3 linked regions of the Oryctolagus cuniculus genome follow. The protein of the gene in region 2 interacts with the protein of the main gene of each other region in a pairwise test. Links are inferred from orthologs where the notes say so. Each region holds a gene or a part of one and is shown on either strand. Other genes may lie near its edges.

The links.
Region 1: the proteins of PAK1 (region 2) and RHOJ interact in binary tests that used the Homo sapiens proteins (3 or more experiments, as listed by UniProt). The link is inferred for Oryctolagus cuniculus from reciprocal best matches to the Homo sapiens genes PAK1 and RHOJ.
Region 3: the proteins of PAK1 (region 2) and NCK2 interact in binary tests that used the Homo sapiens proteins (3 or more experiments, as listed by UniProt). The link is inferred for Oryctolagus cuniculus from reciprocal best matches to the Homo sapiens genes PAK1 and NCK2.

Annotation. Positions count from the first base shown.
Region 1 is NC_091451.1:7,234,741-7,241,026, reverse strand, and holds the start of RHOJ (rho-related GTP-binding protein RhoJ), read left to right. Parts: upstream 1-2,455; 5' UTR 2,456-3,332; coding exon 3,333-3,510; intron 3,511-6,286.
Region 2 is NC_091432.1:68,609,955-68,616,095, reverse strand, and holds the start of PAK1 (serine/threonine-protein kinase PAK 1), read left to right. Parts: upstream 1-2,562; 5' UTR 2,563-3,145; intron 3,146-6,141. UniProt on the Homo sapiens protein: Protein kinase involved in intracellular signaling pathways downstream of integrins and receptor-type kinases that plays an important role in cytoskeleton dynamics, in cell adhesion, migration, proliferation, apoptosis, mitosis, and in vesicle-mediated transport processes.
Region 3 is NC_091433.1:102,701,399-102,705,738, reverse strand, and holds the end of NCK2 (cytoplasmic protein NCK2), read left to right. Parts: intron 1-2,120; coding exon 2,121-2,315; 3' UTR 2,316-3,182; downstream 3,183-4,340. UniProt on the Homo sapiens protein: Adapter protein which associates with tyrosine-phosphorylated growth factor receptors or their cellular substrates. Maintains low levels of EIF2S1 phosphorylation by promoting its dephosphorylation by PP1.

The sequences.
Region 1 (6,286 bases), on a different chromosome or scaffold from region 2:
GGAAGCGGAATTGAGATTTGAACCCAGGCACTCTGATATAAAATGCTGGCATCCCAGGCATTGTCTTTTTATTTATTTTTTATTTGACAGTAGAGTTATAGATAGTGAGAAACAGACAGAGAGAAAGGTCTTCCTTCCGTTGGTTCACCCCCAAAATGGCCGCTATGGCCGGCGCACTGTGCTGATCCAAAGCCAGGAGCCAGGTGCTTCCTCCTGGTCTCCCATGCAGGTGCAGGGGCCCAAGCACTTGGGCCATCCTCCACTGCACTCCACAGCAGAGAGCTGGACTGGAAGAGGAACAACCGGGACTAGAACCCAGTGGCCACATGGGATGCTGGCGCTGCAGGCGGAGGATTAACTAAGTGAGCCACGGCACTGGCCCCCCAGGCAGTGTCTTAACCACAAACGCCTGTCCTGAATAAATCATTTTCACTGTTGAAAACCTGACCTTGGGCCGGCACCCAGGCTCACTAGGCTAATCCTCCACCTGCGGCACCGGCACACCAGGTTCTAGTCCCGGTCAGGGTGCCGGATTCTGTCCCAGTTGCTCCTCTTCCAGTCCAACTCTCTGTTGAGGCCCGGAAGTGCAGTGGAGGATGGCCCGAGTGCTTGGGCCCTGCACCCCATGGGAGACCAGGAGAAGCACCTGACTCCTGGCTTCGGATCAGTGCAGCACTGGCCGTAGAGGCCACTTGAGGGTGAACCAATGGAAAATGGAAGACCTTTCTCTCTGTCTCTCTCTCTCTGACTGTCTCACTCTGCCTGTCAAAAAAAAAAAAGACAAGACAATTCAGTGTTTTACCTTAGGGCTATAAGGCAATAGATTTGTGATTGCTTGCCCGGGTGGAATGGTAAGAATATATTTTAGTTCCAAAGATTTAAAGGGATAACAATTAGAACTGGCATGGAGACTTTATCTAAAATATTGTTTTCTTTTCTTTTTTAAAAAATATTTATTTTATTTGAAAGGCAAAGTTACACACAGAGAGAGAGAGAAATCTTCCATCCATTGGTTCACTACCCAAATGGCCACAATGTCTGCAACTGGGCCAGGCCAAAGCCAGGAGCTTCTTCAGGTCTCCCACGTGGGTACAGGAGCCACAGCACTTGGGCCATCTTCTACTGCTTACCCAGGCCATAGCAGAAAGCTGGATCAGAAGTGGAGTAGCCAGGACTCAAACTGGCACCCATATGGGATGCCGGCACTGTAGGCCGTGGCTTTACCCACCAGCTATGCCACAGTGCCAGCCCCTCCTTTTTTTAATGTTTATTTATTTTCATATACTTAGAGAGAGCTTCTATCCACTATTGTACTCCCCCAGTTGGCTGTAATAGCAAAAGCCAGGAGCTAAGAACTCCATATGAGACTCCAATGTGGGTGTCACGGGCTTAGGCACTCCTAGGACGCATTAGCAGGAAGTAGGTCAGAAACAGAACAGAAGGGGCTGGATCCCAGGTGCTATGATATGGGATGCATGTGTCCTAAGCGAGGGCTTTACCTATTGCACCCTCCCTTACATTATTGATAGCTACCAACTAAAAGATTTCTCTCCCAGCTCCCCAATAAAAAAAAAAAAAAAAAAAAAAAAAAAAAAAAAAACCTCATCAAAAAAAGAAAATCTCAAAAATGATTGGGTAATTTTTGAATCCTACAACATCAGTGTTCAAAAGTCTCAAAGAAAGAGTTCCGCTGTTTTGGCTCATTTATCAAAATGATTTGCAGAGTTCTACTTCTTTTCCAAGACCAAATACATTCATCAAACACTGAGCTTCAAAGGGGCTTCATTTAGAGTGACCCAACCAACAAATAAATTCACTTCCAAGGGCTCCTTTGTAATAAAAGAGGGCCAGGCTGGCCCACGGGGACAGGACTAAATCAAAAAGGGAAATGTCTAGGCAGTATCAGCCTGAGGAACCCTAGACGAACCAAAAACATGTCTTCACTCTCTCCTGTCCGAGGGTGTTACGCAGAATCCAAGCACATGTGTGTTTATTTCCTCAAAAGAAAATGCAGACTTCCCACGTCTGATTTATGTGCTACAGCCGTAAGAAATGTTTGTGTCTGGAATACATATCTGGGTGCTATACTCAAATAGAGCAGTTTGTAAGCCTGATCTCTCTCTCTCTCTCTCTCTCTCTCTCTCTTACACACACACACACACACACACACGTGTACCTTGAAATGTTCATGGAAAAGGGAATCCAAAGAGATGTTTAATTTGGGCGCAGAAAACGTAGCAATCCACACGTAAATTTTCGCATAGTGTACATTTTTCTAGCAACTTTGTAAAGAGCCCTCGTGTGTACGGATTTCTAAAGGTTTTGCAGCAAAATAAACTTGTCTTTCGAGTCCGCATTCCACGAACTTGTTGAAGTACTCTCGCGTTACACCTGCGACCTACCAAAAAAAAAAAAAAAATCACCTTGGAAGGGTTGCTTCTTTATTGCAGCGAAGCGTGGCGAGGGTGCTCACTGAAGCCAGCCAAGAAACGGCCGTGTTTAATTCTCAGAGCCCTCCACCGGTGACTCAGGGAGCGATGATGTCATATGTTATGCTACAACTGCTGGTGCGGTTCTGCGCGCTCGCTCCAGCCGTTCCCTCTTGCTCCTGGGGCAGCCGGGACTCGCCGGCCCCCAGCCTTTCCCAGCCAGCCAGGAGCAAGCAGGCTGCCTAGCAGCGATGCAACAGGAAGTCTGAGAGCCTGAGCCGGCAGCGGGACCCCTAGTGCTTTCCCACTCCGTGTCCTGGCATCGTTCCCCACAAGTACAAACACACACACAGAGCTCCCATTGTTGCAGCCCTCCCAGCCCACTGATCCTAATATGGAATGCAGCAGGAAACCCATGATTTCCTGAGCTTCGGCAAGCTGGAGGAAGCAAGGGAGGGGGGTGGAAAAACTCCATTAAAAAGCCCAGCTTTCCTCCATGTTAGCTGTGAAGTGGGGAAAAAAAAAATGGGGACGATTTAGCCGAATCCCAGCCGGGCTGCAGACGGGCAGAGCAGAGCGGGAAGCCGCAAGCCGCTGAAATTTCTAGACTGCCAGCGAAGCCTCCAGGACTCTGGAGATGAAGATTGCTTAAACGGAGAAGGGAGAGGATCGGACCCTTCTCACAACCCTCCTCCCTTCCACACCCCACCCCGCTGCGAGTGCCTGTCGCTGTTCGGGACCGCGATGGCGAGCGACGGGGCGCACGCCAGCCTCCGACGTGTCCGGATGCTCCAAGGGACCCCAAGCGAGGCAGAGTGAACTCCGTCCAGCCTGGCACCGGCTCTGCGGGACAAGCGGCGGGAGCAGCAGCCAGCGGGAGTCCCAGCCGCCGCGGCCGCGAGCATGAACTGCACCGAGGGGACTGACAGCAGCTGCGGCTGTGCGGACCACGCCGAGAAGAAGATGCTCAAGTGCGTGGTGGTCGGCGACGGCGCGGTGGGGAAGACCTGCTTGCTCATGAGCTACGCCAACGACGCCTTCCCCGAGGAATACGTGCCCACCGTGTTCGACCACTATGCAGGTAGGGAGAGCCGGGGTGCGCCGGCGGGGGCGGGGGGGAGCGGAGACCCCAGGCGCGCAAGGACCCGGCTTGGGTCTCGCGGCAGCGCTGGGTGCGGGCCTGCGTGCGCGTCATCGGGTGGCTGAGCCTCACGCACAACGTGTGAGGATGCTTCCCAAAGGAGGTGGGCAGGGGCATGGAAAGACACTTTTATGGCGGTGCAAAATGTTGGAACCCAGGCGTAGGTGCGGTGCGCACAGTCTGCGGGAAAGGATTTCAAAAACTTTTGCACCGAAATAAACGTTGTCTTCTGTCTCATGAACATTTTGGAGCACCCTCATTTGAACAAAGCCTCTGCAGGACCGTTGGGAGACCAGTTTGCTTGTGGCGCTGTATCTGAACAGTTTCTCCACTCGTGGAGCAGATGGGTGACACTGGGACACACTCAAACTGCCCCCTGGATTGGGCGTTTTATTCAACATCTGCTTGGAGAGTCACTGCTTCCTGTCAACTTTCTCAAATGTGGCGTGATTGCATTCACGATTCTTTTCTACGGGAAAAAAAAATCACCACTCACACACAACTGGTCAAAGCAAGGTTCCTGCCAGTTCTCATCTCAGATCTGGAAATGCAAAGACTAATAAATAAGACCCTCATTTCTCCTAAAACACTTGGTGCCCTAAGACTATACTTTCATCTTCCTGGGGACCGAGAGCAGGGCAGGGAAGGCAGGGCGTGTTAAAAGCTTGTAAATAACTATTAAGCAACGTATAGCTTGCATTAAAAAATTGTTTTAATTAATATTTTTTAAAGTACAAATGCAACCGAAGCCTGAATTACTTTAAAACCTGTCCCCAAAAGACAAAATCGAGCATGCAATGTTTTAAAGTGTGACGGTGACAACCCTGTAGTCACTATTCTGCCAGCGGATTTTTTTCTTTTTTGAGTGTTCTCAAGTTTGTAGGTGTACTTGTCTGTGAGGTAGCATTATCTAAAATTTCCCATTTTGACTCTCGCTTTTTCTCTTAATTTCTAGAACAAATATTAGTAAGTTTCTCATTTGCAAATTCATGAAAGTCTTGAAGTTTGCAGTAACTCACTTTATAATTGTTTGTTGGGACATGGCGATTGGTACCGTGACTTATCAGAGGTTTGAGAGTCTGTAAGAGAAAAATTCCTCTTCTTTCAATTTGGTTTTGGGTCAGGATCAGCTACAGAGAAATGATCCACAGGAAGGCGACGTGCGTCGCGTCTTTGCTCCGTGGCCATTTGAAGTCATCCTACCATAGGAAGTAGCTTCCTCTCTGGAACTGGACATTTCCCAAGTCCCCTTCCTCCTGCTTGTGTGTGACTTGGGACAGACAAAGCGACAGAGGATGTGGAGTATCTACCTCGCAGAGGGTTTCTCTCTCTTTGTAGACATTGAGAGTCAATGTTAATGCTGGCCCCCTTAAGCTTTTCTGAAAATATGACTATGCCCAGAAAAGAACATTTTAATGAGAGCAGAAAAGAGAGAGAGCGCGCACGTACACTTTCATCTTCAGAAAAAAAAAACTAATTATAAAATCTGGGGATCCGTGCTAACATCTTAGCATAAGTTATTATTCCACCCCTTCTTCCTGCAAGCAAAAGAGAAGTGGCTAGTATCTCCCTTCAAAAACTTCTAGATCAAAGGTAGAACCCAACATCTGCTAAGAGGGGAGGCTTCAGAGGCTTATGAAAATCACGTATAAATCTCTTCATCTATCGAGTGAAGCGGTCACAGCATGCTATCAGAAAGAAAAAGAAAAAAATCTTTAGAGATAGAATTAGCCTGTAAAAGCACAATCAGGGAACATACAAAGGCTGAGCCACAGCAAGATTCCACTACAATCAAATTGATGTTTCATTCAGGCACATACTAGCTATGGTTTGAGCATCAGGGACCCTTGAAGGTGTTGGCTACATATTAGTATATTTATTATTATTTATTTATTTATTTAAGACAGGTGGTTGGAGAGGGCTGTGCTGGGCTGAAGCTGGGAGCTGGGAAGTCAGTTCAGGTCTCCCATGTGGGTGGCAGGAGCCCAGAAGGATACTGTCATCAGCAGTGAGAGTCAGGGCTCAAACCCAAGTTGTCCCAGCCAGTGTCTAAATCACTAAGCCGCACACTCACCCTTACTGTATTGTTTTAGCTCCCCACCTATTCAGAATGGCACTTAGCACGTAGTAGGCATTCTTAAACATGGTTGCTTTGATTTACACTTTATTCCTCTTTAAGTGCATTATCATGGTGCCGGTGCTGTGCTGCAGCTGGTTAAGCCACTGTCTGCTACACCGCATTCTATATGGGCGCCAGTTTGAGTCCTGGCTGCCCCACTTCCAATCCCACTCTCTGCTAATGCGCCTGGGAGAAGAGTGGAAGATGGCCCAAGTGCTTGGGCCCCTGCATCCACATGGGAGACCCGGAAGAAGTTCCTGACTCCTGGCTTTGGCCTGGCCCAGCCCCAGCTGTTACAACCACTTGGGAAGTGAAACAGTGGATAGAAGATTCTCTCTCTCTCTCTCTCTCTCTCTCAGATCACATACATTTTTAAAAATAGCTTTTCGGCCAGTGCTGTGGCTCAATAGGCTAATCCTCCCCCTGCGGTGCCAGCACACCAGGTTCTAGTCCTGGTCAGGGCACCAGATTCTGTCCCAGTTGCTCCTCTTCCAGTCCAGCTCTCTGCTGTGGCCAGGGAGTGCAGTGGAGGATGGCCCAAGTGCTTGGGCCCTGTACCTGCATGGGAGACCAGGAGAGGCATCTGGCTCCTGGCTT
Region 2 (6,141 bases):
GCAACAAGAACTCCCCTGGTGGTAAGTGGAGAAGGGATAGCCTCTGACACACTGTCCTGACACGGTGCCTAAGGCTCTTTACCTGTTCAAAGATTGGACATCTAAGTGGAATGAATGTATTAGAATACGCAACAACTCTTGTTTAGGGATTTTTCAACCTTTTTTTCGTTACTGCCTTCCTAATGGAGAAAAAGCCTTCCTAGCCAGAGAAATTAAATACTAGGATTTTTTTTTTTCCAAATAGGATTGGGCTTTGGAGGCCACAAAGCATTGTAATATCTGCTATTTTCATCCACCTAAGGACCAGGTTTCATTCCTTTGGCACAGATATTGCCCCCATTGAGAATGAACACTTTTATGGTGTGGGGACAGTGTTAATTATAATTTTGTAGAGTTGGCTGGATTTTACTGTCTGAAAAGCCTTAAATAGAATTTCACTTGTCAGGTCACTCACTTATCAACTCAAGACATGGTGTGATGATCGCCATGAGATTTCTTTTTTCTAAAACCCCAAAACAACTCTTCTTCATCTGAAGAGCAGACGATGATGAAAGGCCAGAGTGTAACAGTTAGGGTAGAGGAAATGCCTTGAATGTTCTCTTATGCTAAAGTCATTGTTCGGGACTGGGACTCAGACTGGCAATGGAGACCAGTGAATGGGTGCAGCTGAGAACCTGGCACCTCCAGCAAGTACGCCCCTCCCAGTTACCAGCGGCTACCTTCCCTTGGAGTTTGCTGTTAGTTTCCTGTGGCTGACACACACTATATTATCATCACACATAGAGTGGCTGAAAATGTTTATTACTTTATGGTTCTGTAGTTCTGAAGTCCAAAATGGGTGTCAGTGGGCTAAAATTAAGGTGTTGGCAGCGCTCTGTTCCTTTCTGGAGGCTTCAGAAGAGGATCTGTCTTTCTGGCTTTTCCATCTCCTGGAGTCTGCTCCCAAAAGCAGGGGAGCCCCGCCTCAAAATCCTTAATTTGGAGGGAGAATCAAGTTCGTGGATAAAGTTCATAAACCTTGCCCGTTGGCATGAAGGCAAATTCTGATGTTTGCTATCTTTCCTTCCCTTATTAAAGTACTACATGCCATAAAAGGCGTGGAAATACTATAGGATTACAGAATTGTCAAAGCTCAGGGAAACTCTAGAAATATTAGTCAAATAAATAAATGAACATGACATTTGAGCTCAGCTTTGTAGAATCAATAGGTGTTGGCCAGTCACATAAGGAGTGAAGGGCTCAGAGACATGAAGAAGTGTGTATTGCGAGAATGTTAAATAGTATTTTAGTGTGGCTGGAGGAAAAGCTATATGATGAGTGATGGAGCTGAAAAAGTCAGGTTGTGAAGTCCCAGGTTAAGGATTTTAGACTTTATCCTGAAAGCAATAAAAACCTTTCAGAGTGTTTAAATAGAGGAGGACATCATCATATTTGTGGTGGTCAGTGGATTGGATCTGGAGCAACTGAAGGTTGCGCCAGTAGTTCATGTGATGGTGGAGGAAGAGAAGGGCAAGGACCTGCAAAGTAGAATTGACAAGACCTGACGTCCAGTTTGGTAGGCAGGTAGAGAGAATCTGGACTTTCGTCCAGGTTTCTGTTTTCACTGACTGCTGGATTGTGTGGTCGATTCACTGAGACCAGGAAGGCACAAGAGTCGCAAGGTTGGAGGGAAATGACTGGTAATAGTCAACATTCCAAAGGGCTGACTATGCTTAATTGTCACTATCATTTTTATGGCTTCAGGTAGGCTTAGAGAGATTAAGTTAAGGATACACAAGTACCACTTATTATGGAGAAAGTATGGTTTAAAAACGTTAAGATCCTATTACTAACATTTATATGGATGATACGTATTTGAAGCAAGACAATCTTGTTCCAGACTTTCAGCCACCAATGCTGTCCAGTACTGGACACGTTGAATCTGAGGTACAACAATGCATGCAGGTGAACGCTGTGGGGGAGGTTTTGGTAAATACATAATCTTTGCTCCAGGGCAAGGTTTGGAGAAAGTAGACATCATACAAAGAGAAAAACGGGAAAGGAAGCCATTTTTTTTTTTCTGTGTCAGGTCACCATGGTTATCCTTTGTCTCCCCACTTTGGCTCCCACATCCTACCCAAAGAAAACAATTAGAATCATAGATAATGTGGCTCTGAGATCACACGAAACCGTTTTCAAATTCAGTCCTTGGAAATGAGCTAACGAATGCGGTGGTGCTTTGTAAGCAGCAGTCCCTGAATCCTGAGGGTTAGCCGCCTTTTTCCGATTGCAGCCATCCCAGAAATTGCCCAAAGGTTTTCAGTCACAAAGTCCATAGCAAAGAAACCTGCGGCGGGTTGAGAGCACCCGCAGAGAGCAGAGGAGCGGGCGCAATGACGTCACAGGCAACCGGGTGATTCCCCAGCCTCTGGCGTCATGAGGCGATGACGTCATCCCGGCGCTCGCCCTCCCCCTCGCCTGGGCTGGTCTCGCTCACGTGGGCCAGCCGGCCCTCCCCGCCCCCTCCCACCTGCGGGAGGCGGGGCGGGCAGGGCTCCGCCGGCGCCGAGGCCTCACAGGGGCGGGGCGGGGGCCGGTGGGCGAGGCGGTCGGGCCCGGGAGGCGGCTTACAATAGGGCGCCTGCGGCGGGGCGGCGGCGGGCAGCGGCTGCCACTGGAACTGAAGGTGCCGGCTACACAGTGGACGCCCCCTCACGGCTGCCCACACACGCCCTCCCCCTCAGCTCGCCCATCGCGCCTCCCCGCCTCGCTCTGCTGTCCTACTCCGGAGACACTTTGCCCTCGGACTCTTCTTTTCTCCGAACCCCGCAGTCCCCAAAATCCCGCTCAAAGAACTCTGCCTCCCCATCGACTTCCCACCTCCCTCCGAGGCCGTCCGAGCCCCTCACATCCCCGCCCCTCTCAGCCCACCGAGCCGGCCCCGCAGCGCCTCCTCCCGCCTCACCGCCCCCTCCCTCGCAGGTCCCTCGGTCCTGAGGGGATCCCCAGAGCCAGCGGCCGGGGGGAGGCGCGCGGCGGCGGCGGCGGGAGGGAGAAAGTGAAGCGGCGGCTCGCGCACACTCGCGCGCTCACCCCCGGCCCGGCCGCCGCCACCGGGGTGGAGGAGCAGGAGGAGGAGCCGAGCGGAGCAGAGCGAGCACGGAAGGTAAGAGCCGGCCTCCGGTCGGTGCCCCTGGCGTTGCGGGCTGTCCCGGCTGAGGCGCGCGGTCGGGGTGGGCTGGACGGGGTGGGGGCCCTGGGCGCATTCATTCTGGGCGCCGGGTCCCGGCGGGCGGGGGCGCCAGGTGAGGTGAGGCGGGCGCCGCCCCGCGAGGCGGGCCGCTCCCGTCGGGCCAACAAAGGCCCCCTGTGCACGCACCCGCGCGACCGCCGGTCTCGGACGCCGGGACATCGGGGGGCCGGGAGGGGGGAGGCCCCGGCGGGGGAGGGGCCGGGCCGAGGCTGGGAGACCAGACAGGTCCGAGTCCGGGACCAGCTCCGTCCCGAACTTGGCCGTCCCGCAGCGCTCACCGTGGCCCGCGACGGGGAAGCCTGGCCACAGGGCGCCCGCTTCATTCTGCGTGGAAAAGTTCCCCAGTCCAGGCTTGGAGAGCCACCGTTAGGGTTCAACTTGAAAAGAAAACAGTAGTGCGATTTATGCAGCCCTTCCCCCATCCCGGGAGTACTCCCTAACTTAGGAAGGTGAAAACAATCGAGGAAGGGAGAATTATAGTTGTTTTGTATTAGCTATTCCATTTCAAAAGACATTATTACAGCGTTCACTGTTTTGAATATTTCAACGGTAAACATTACTGGCAGTGTTTTGGAAGAATACTTAAGAAGTACTGGGTGTGTGTCGGTGTTGCCAGTAAAATCCTTGTTAAACCCCTTGGATAATTGTCTTACACTTCACTGTATTTTTTAACTGTGAAAGGTGAAGGGAAAGGTTGGTATTGTGGTTACCAATAAACATTCAAATCCATCACTCTTGTCTTTAAAGAATTGTTCTTGGGAAAAATGTTTAATTTCGTCAACTGTGTATTTGAGCTTTCTCATCTCTTGTCAGGAGAAAACAGGAGTCCACAGTACAAAGATACCTCATTTGTCTTACCTTGTGGCTTTACCTACTTCCTGTGTGACCTTGAGCAGGTCACTTCCAGCCTTAAAATTCTAGGAGTTTGCTTTTGTGTCCCTGGAATGGGCAGGTAGGCAGCATACCTACTTCACTTTCAAGAGTCCAGTGAAGAATATGCCTCCCCCCAAGTCTTTGCTGGCATCTGTCCCCTCCCTCTCAGGTAGAGCTGACTTCTCCCCGTTGGGGCTTTCAGAGGCCCACTGAGATTTCTCCTATGGCACTTGTAGCATTTTAATTTCTGTTTGGGAAATCCTGAATCAGGTGCATATGAAACCTACCCCACATCAGCTCTAATTCTCAAAAAAGTTTTGGGAATATGGACCCTGAAACATTCCCTGAACCTTATACATACCTTTACGTGAGCTCGTGGGTCTACCTGGTAAAATTGCTTATTCAGTTATTCTCTTATCCATTATTACTGGAATCTGCTTCAAGCCTCTTGCCACAGCCATGGGGATTTCAAGAGTGTTAAGACCTTCCTTGTCTTCAAAGAGCTCAAAGTCTAGTGGGTGAGGTAGACAAGTAAACAATGCAGCCTGCCCTAATCTCCGGGGGACTTCAGTTGTACAGGGAGTAGTGTGCAATAATTGAGGTTGCTGGACCTGTTTTACAAGTTTGCTTCTGGCCAAATTGAGTTCTTCAGGCTGGCCCCTCATCCATAAGAAAAAGTAAAATTCTACATACATTTATTGAGCACAGGTTTTGAGACTCTGTATAGACTTGAAGGAAGCAGCACCTCAAAGGAAGGCATTTGTGTAACCACAGGGATTTTGTAAAACAAAGCGTAATCACTTAAGTAATTCCTACCTCTGACTATTCATTGTCAAAAGATAAATTTCAGACTCCTTAGCTTGGAACTAGAAACTGGAGATCTGAGCATTGTCTACCTTTGCAGCCTCAGTTTTGGTAAACTCTCTCCTACCACTTTTTTCTCATCTGTGCTTCCCCTTGTGCTGTTTCATCTGCCTAGAATGTCTGCCTTCTTCACCTTCCCTGCCTACAGAGGTGTCCTTGTAATAAGTTGCCTTTCCATCCTCTGGCTCATGTACACACCACGTTTTTAGTTCTGTCTGGCACTGTATTACAATTATGTTAAGTCTGTGCTTATCTTTTTTCACTAGCCTGTGAATTTCATGAGGGCATGATCTGTTTAGTTTTAGTGGCTAGCAAAGGACCTGGCATTGAATAAGTGTTTAAATGAATGAATATGTGTATAAAGAATAAAGTCAAGGCCCATGAGTTAGAGATTCCTAATAGTTTCTCAAAGTGTGGTCCCTGGATCACAGCTTCAGCATAATCTGGCATCTTGTTAGCAAATCAGTGGGTACTAGTTGAAACCTACACATGAACAACTCTGAGGTTGGGGCTCCCACAGAGACCTTTGCTTTAACAAGCTCTCTTAAGTGGTTCTGATGCTTGCTGAAGTTTGCAAACCAGTTTCAGAATTGCCTCCTGATACCCTAGTAGCTCCCTTTCTCCCTTTTTTTCTTCCATGACACTTACTGCCTGACATTCCATTCCATCCCACTTATAATCTGTCTTAAGAGAATGAAAACTTCTTGAGAACAGGAAGTTTTGTCTGTTTTCTCCATTGCTTTAATTCTAATGCCTAGAGTAATGACAGCATAGAGCAGGAACTCAAGAGTTTGTTGAATGAATACTATAAGGTGATTTAGTCCCATTTACTGCCAACTGCTACTTTGGGGTTATAGTTAAGAATCATTCTCATAATGAAAAGGAAGTACACTTTAATATGTAAATCCAAAGGATTCCTAACATTTTTGGGGATGTTTTAGGTAGAAATTTTCTTCCCTTTTACATCTGTCATTCTCCAACCAAAGCCTGCAGGATTTTTTATCTTTTTATTTTGTTTGTTTTAGCCATTACCTGAAAACTGCTGTTGAACTATCCTAGGCAGGGATTGTTTCTTGGGAATTTGTAATTTGGTTTTGCAAGTCTAAATAAGCACCCTCACTTTCGAGATGTGTTTTTTTTTTTTTAAAGATTTTTATTTATTTATTTATTTG
Region 3 (4,340 bases), on a different chromosome or scaffold from region 2:
CCTGATTGGAATTAAGAACAGCCCCAAACCGTCAGCCCTCCTGCTTGGCACAAGCTGTTTCTGCCTGGTAGCCCATGAAATTAGAAAGTACCTTTTGTGCTGCATCAGTGTTACTCCTGTAACACACACACACACACACACACACACACACCCCATGATGTTCAATTAAGGAGCTGCAGGGGAAAGCAAATTCACCTATTCCAAGGTCATCTGTTGATCACTCGGCTTGATGAAAATTGGGTGCCTCAAGCCTTCACAGCAGCTCCAGTGCAAAAAATGTTTAAATCCATGCCTGTACTGGAGTCTGCAAAGAGTTCACAGAACATGAGTGTAATGAGAAAACAGTATGTGGATTTCAGGAACTCTGCGCCAATGTAAAACGCCGTTTTCCATGCATTTTTTAAAGTGCCCTCTGATTGGCGGCCGTGGGTCCCGTGCGTGCTGTGCAGGGGGCCAGGGCTGAGTGAGTGTCGCGGTCCTCCAATACTGCTGACGTCTGGAGCTTGCCCGTGTGCACCAGACCTGTCGGGCAGTGCCTGGTTCCGCTTGTTGGGCCTTCAGAACCACACACAGCCGCCCACCTGGACGGAGACAGCGGGGCGAGCTTGCGTCGTCTTGTTCAGCCCTGTGAGCACAGTCGCACTTCGAGGGTGCGCAGGCCACACGGTGACTCAGGAGGAGGCCGCCTGGTGCCGTGTGGATGTGCATGTTGGTGGAGCAGCTTGGCCTGAGTGTGCCATCCAGGTCTGACCCTCTAGGGGCTGTGAAAATAGTAGCTGGCCTGCATCCTCTTTGGGGATGGACCTTCGGGGCTCTTCCTGGAGTCTCATTCACCAGCATTTCCTGGGGGCTCCCCCAAGGCATTCGGGTAGCATGGAGATAAAGAGGGGCTTTTCCCTCCAAGGCTTATTCTTGCTTTGTTGGTCCTGGGCAGAGGGACAGCGCACAGGCTAACTGTAAACTCCATTGTCCCTGTCTGCCTGCTGTGCTAACAGCTGTGGCTGGTGTGTGCACCCAGCTGCCCTGTGCAGTGTGGATCTTCTCGGACACCCATATTAACAGCTGTGGCTAGTGTGTGCACCCAGCTGCCCTGTGCAGTGTGGATCTTCTCGGACACCCATGCTCCTGAGTAGGCGCCCACGTGGGCTCTGTTAATCCTTGTGTCCAGGCTCTGCTCCCTTCTCCTCAGAAGAATGTTATTTGAGGGCTTTTGGAAACTTGTGGCCAGAGTCTGGCTGCGAGGGAGGTGGAGGGAGGGTAGGAGCAGAGCTTGTCCCTAGGAATTACGAGAGCAGAAAGTGGGTTGCGGACCTGGGTTTGGCTGCCCTAGGTTGTGGCGTAGACTTGGTGCCACATAGCAAGCCACGGAGGAGACAACTGACCTTGTGTGGGACTGGTCTTGGGGGGGAGCATCTGTACTTTGAGCTTAAGGGTATGATAACCACGCAGAAGACAGATGGCCCCAAGAACAACATGGCCAGGACTAGAATGGGCACTGTGTGGGGGAGGTTATGCTTTAGGCTCATTGATTGGGACAATAGGCAGGGGCCAGGTGACGCAGCTGCGGGGGGAGCTCCGAGGGGCTGAGGTCACCCAGGGAGGCCAGGACCCCTCCCCCTTCCCTTCACTGCTGAAAATGAGGCAAGGCCCTCCTCCCTTTGTACACGCCAAGCATCTTACCAGCATCTTAGCCACTAGGCCAGACACCTGCCCTAGGCGTTTATTTTTAAATGGCTTAGACTTTAAAAAAAAAAAAAAAGGTTTAATTTCTAATAGTATTAGAAGTCAGAAGAAGGGAAATTTCTAGCCTCTGCCTGCATGGAAACCACTTGTCTTAGATTCCAGTTTCTCAAAAACAGCTCGGGAAGTGAAAAGTGTTTCCTAGCATTCGGGTCCCACGTGTCAAAGAAGGAGGTGTGTTCAGCACTGAATACTCAGCCAAATGAAGTCCTTGAGCAGGGGTCGTCGGGCGGAGCGGCAGGTGCCGTGGTAGACACCTGCGCCTCTGGGAACCCTGTGGCCCGGGGGTGTGGCCCGTGGGGAGAGGGGTGGAGTACCCCAGAGCGTGCAGCCCGCGCCCTCTCGGGCCCTGGTGTAATCTGTGCCGTTTGCTCCCGCAGCCCAGCGACTTCTCCGTGTCTCTCAAAGCGTCAGGGAAGAACAAACACTTCAAGGTGCAGCTCGTGGACAATGTGTACTGCATTGGGCAGCGGCGATTCCACACCATGGACGAGCTGGTGGAACACTACAAAAAGGCCCCCATCTTCACCAGCGAGCACGGGGAGAAGCTCTACCTCGTCCGGGCGCTGCAGTGACCTGTGCCGTGGGCCCTCGGGTCGGGGCCGCGCCGCGCTGCGCCCACCAGCTCCGGGCGCCACCGCCGGGTGCGACCATCCCTCCTGGCTGGTCTTAGAAGGAGGCGGAAGGGCCGAGTGTCTTCACTTTATTTCTCTCCAACTAGTGGCGGCAACCCTCTGCTCACGTGGAGACCCTGGGCACGGCTGGAGGGCCACCGTGCACGCAGCCAGGGCCCCCAGGCTGCGCAGGCCACGAGGGAGCTGTCCAGTGCCTTGGGGCCGTGCTTGCAATAAAGAATTTTCCTCGAGAGGCATTCTGCAACGGAGGGACCCGGTGACTCAAGATAAGACACGCGTTTTGGTCGTTGACCCCTGAAGTGTGCCATCCACGTAGCGCTGTTTGCTCTTGCCTGCAGCTCCTTTGAACTTCACGGTGATGTATTCAGTTCTCCAAGTCCTACGTATCTGTAGCTGGTTGTTGACACTAATGCGGGATGATTCAGGAAAACAGCTGATCTGTGGGGGAAGCGGAGCTACCAACACTCCACACACAAGCATACACACACCCACGCACACACATGCACGCTGTACACATGCGTGTGCATGTCTGTGTATGTGTGTGTATATACTTAAATATTTTATTTGCTTTACAGGGAAATTTTTCAGGGTTTACAAAAGAAAATGTGATTGGTAGTCAGAGACACAAGATGTTTATGAAGAAATCGTGTTCCCTTTTTTTCTTTACATTTGAACTTCTTTATAGTTTAAATATACAGTCTTGAGATGGCACATTCCTATGATGGAAGAAGGGGTCTTGCGATCCCCTAAACTTGCATACCCAGTTTTTTTGAATATTGTAATAAAAAAAAAAGTATTATGACACGATCCTGTGTGCGTTTGTCTTTGGGGAGACGCTAACTGCTGTGGGGGAGGGGTGACCGCTGTGTTGGGTGACTTCTCCCAGCTTGAAAGGAAGAACCAGGCTCAAGGGCAGGGTCAGGAGTGCACTCCCTGTGACTTTCTTGCCACCGCGTTTTTGAATATTGAAATAACCCCTGCTAACGAGGGAAACTCCAACAAGCTTGCTCTTAACTTCGCTCTTTGAGAATTGCTGGCTTCAGAATGTTTTCTCGACGGTCGCCAGCCAGAGTCTTTGCATTCCCGGTGGCCCTCCTCGGATGTTGCGCTCTGGCTCTCTCCATCTGTCCGTGTTTAGTGGATGGCGGCCGCATGCCAGGCCGTGGGAGTGCAACTCACGGCACGCGGATCAGTGCCCTCTTAGTGGACCAGGACTGATGCACATGGCGCGTCCTCCCCACCCCGTGCTTACCACCACCGTGATCCCCATTGTAGGGACCAAGACGGTTAGGCATGACGTCATGCACAAGGGGATGCAAACCCAGAGTTTTGGAAGGAATTTCAGAGCCGGGTGGTACGTCCTGACTCTGCCATTCCTGTTGGCATTGAGTTCATTGATTCTTTGGTCGCCTTTCACTGTGGTCCATTAGAAGCTGATGGAGAATGAGGCTGGCAGCCCACTGCCCCAGTCGTAGTGAACTGTAAGAGGACGCTGCCTACGTGTCTCTCAGAGCAGCAAACTGCCCTGGGATTAGAGATGCGGCTGCAGTCTGTTTTCCGTCAATGCAGGCCGGAGGATGGGCACACCTGCCCCCAAAAGGAATGTGGCCGTGGGAGCAGCAGGGGGCTAATGGGCACTAATTGGTACCTGGGAATTTATAAATTTGCCAGAGCATTTTTTTTTTAAGATTTATTTATTTGAAAAAGAGTTACAGAGAGAAGTAGAGCCAGAGAGAGAGGTCTTCCATCCACTGGTTCACTCCCCAAATGACAGCAACCGCCAGATCTTAGCTGATCTGAAGCCAGGAGCCAGGAGCTTCTTCCAGGTCTCCCAAGTGGGTGCAGGGACCCAAGTACTTGGGCCATCTTCTGCTTTCCCAGGCCATAGCAGAGAGCTGGATCGGAAGCAGAGCAGCCGGGACTCGAGCTGGTGCCCATATGGGATACGGCACTGTGGGCAGTGGC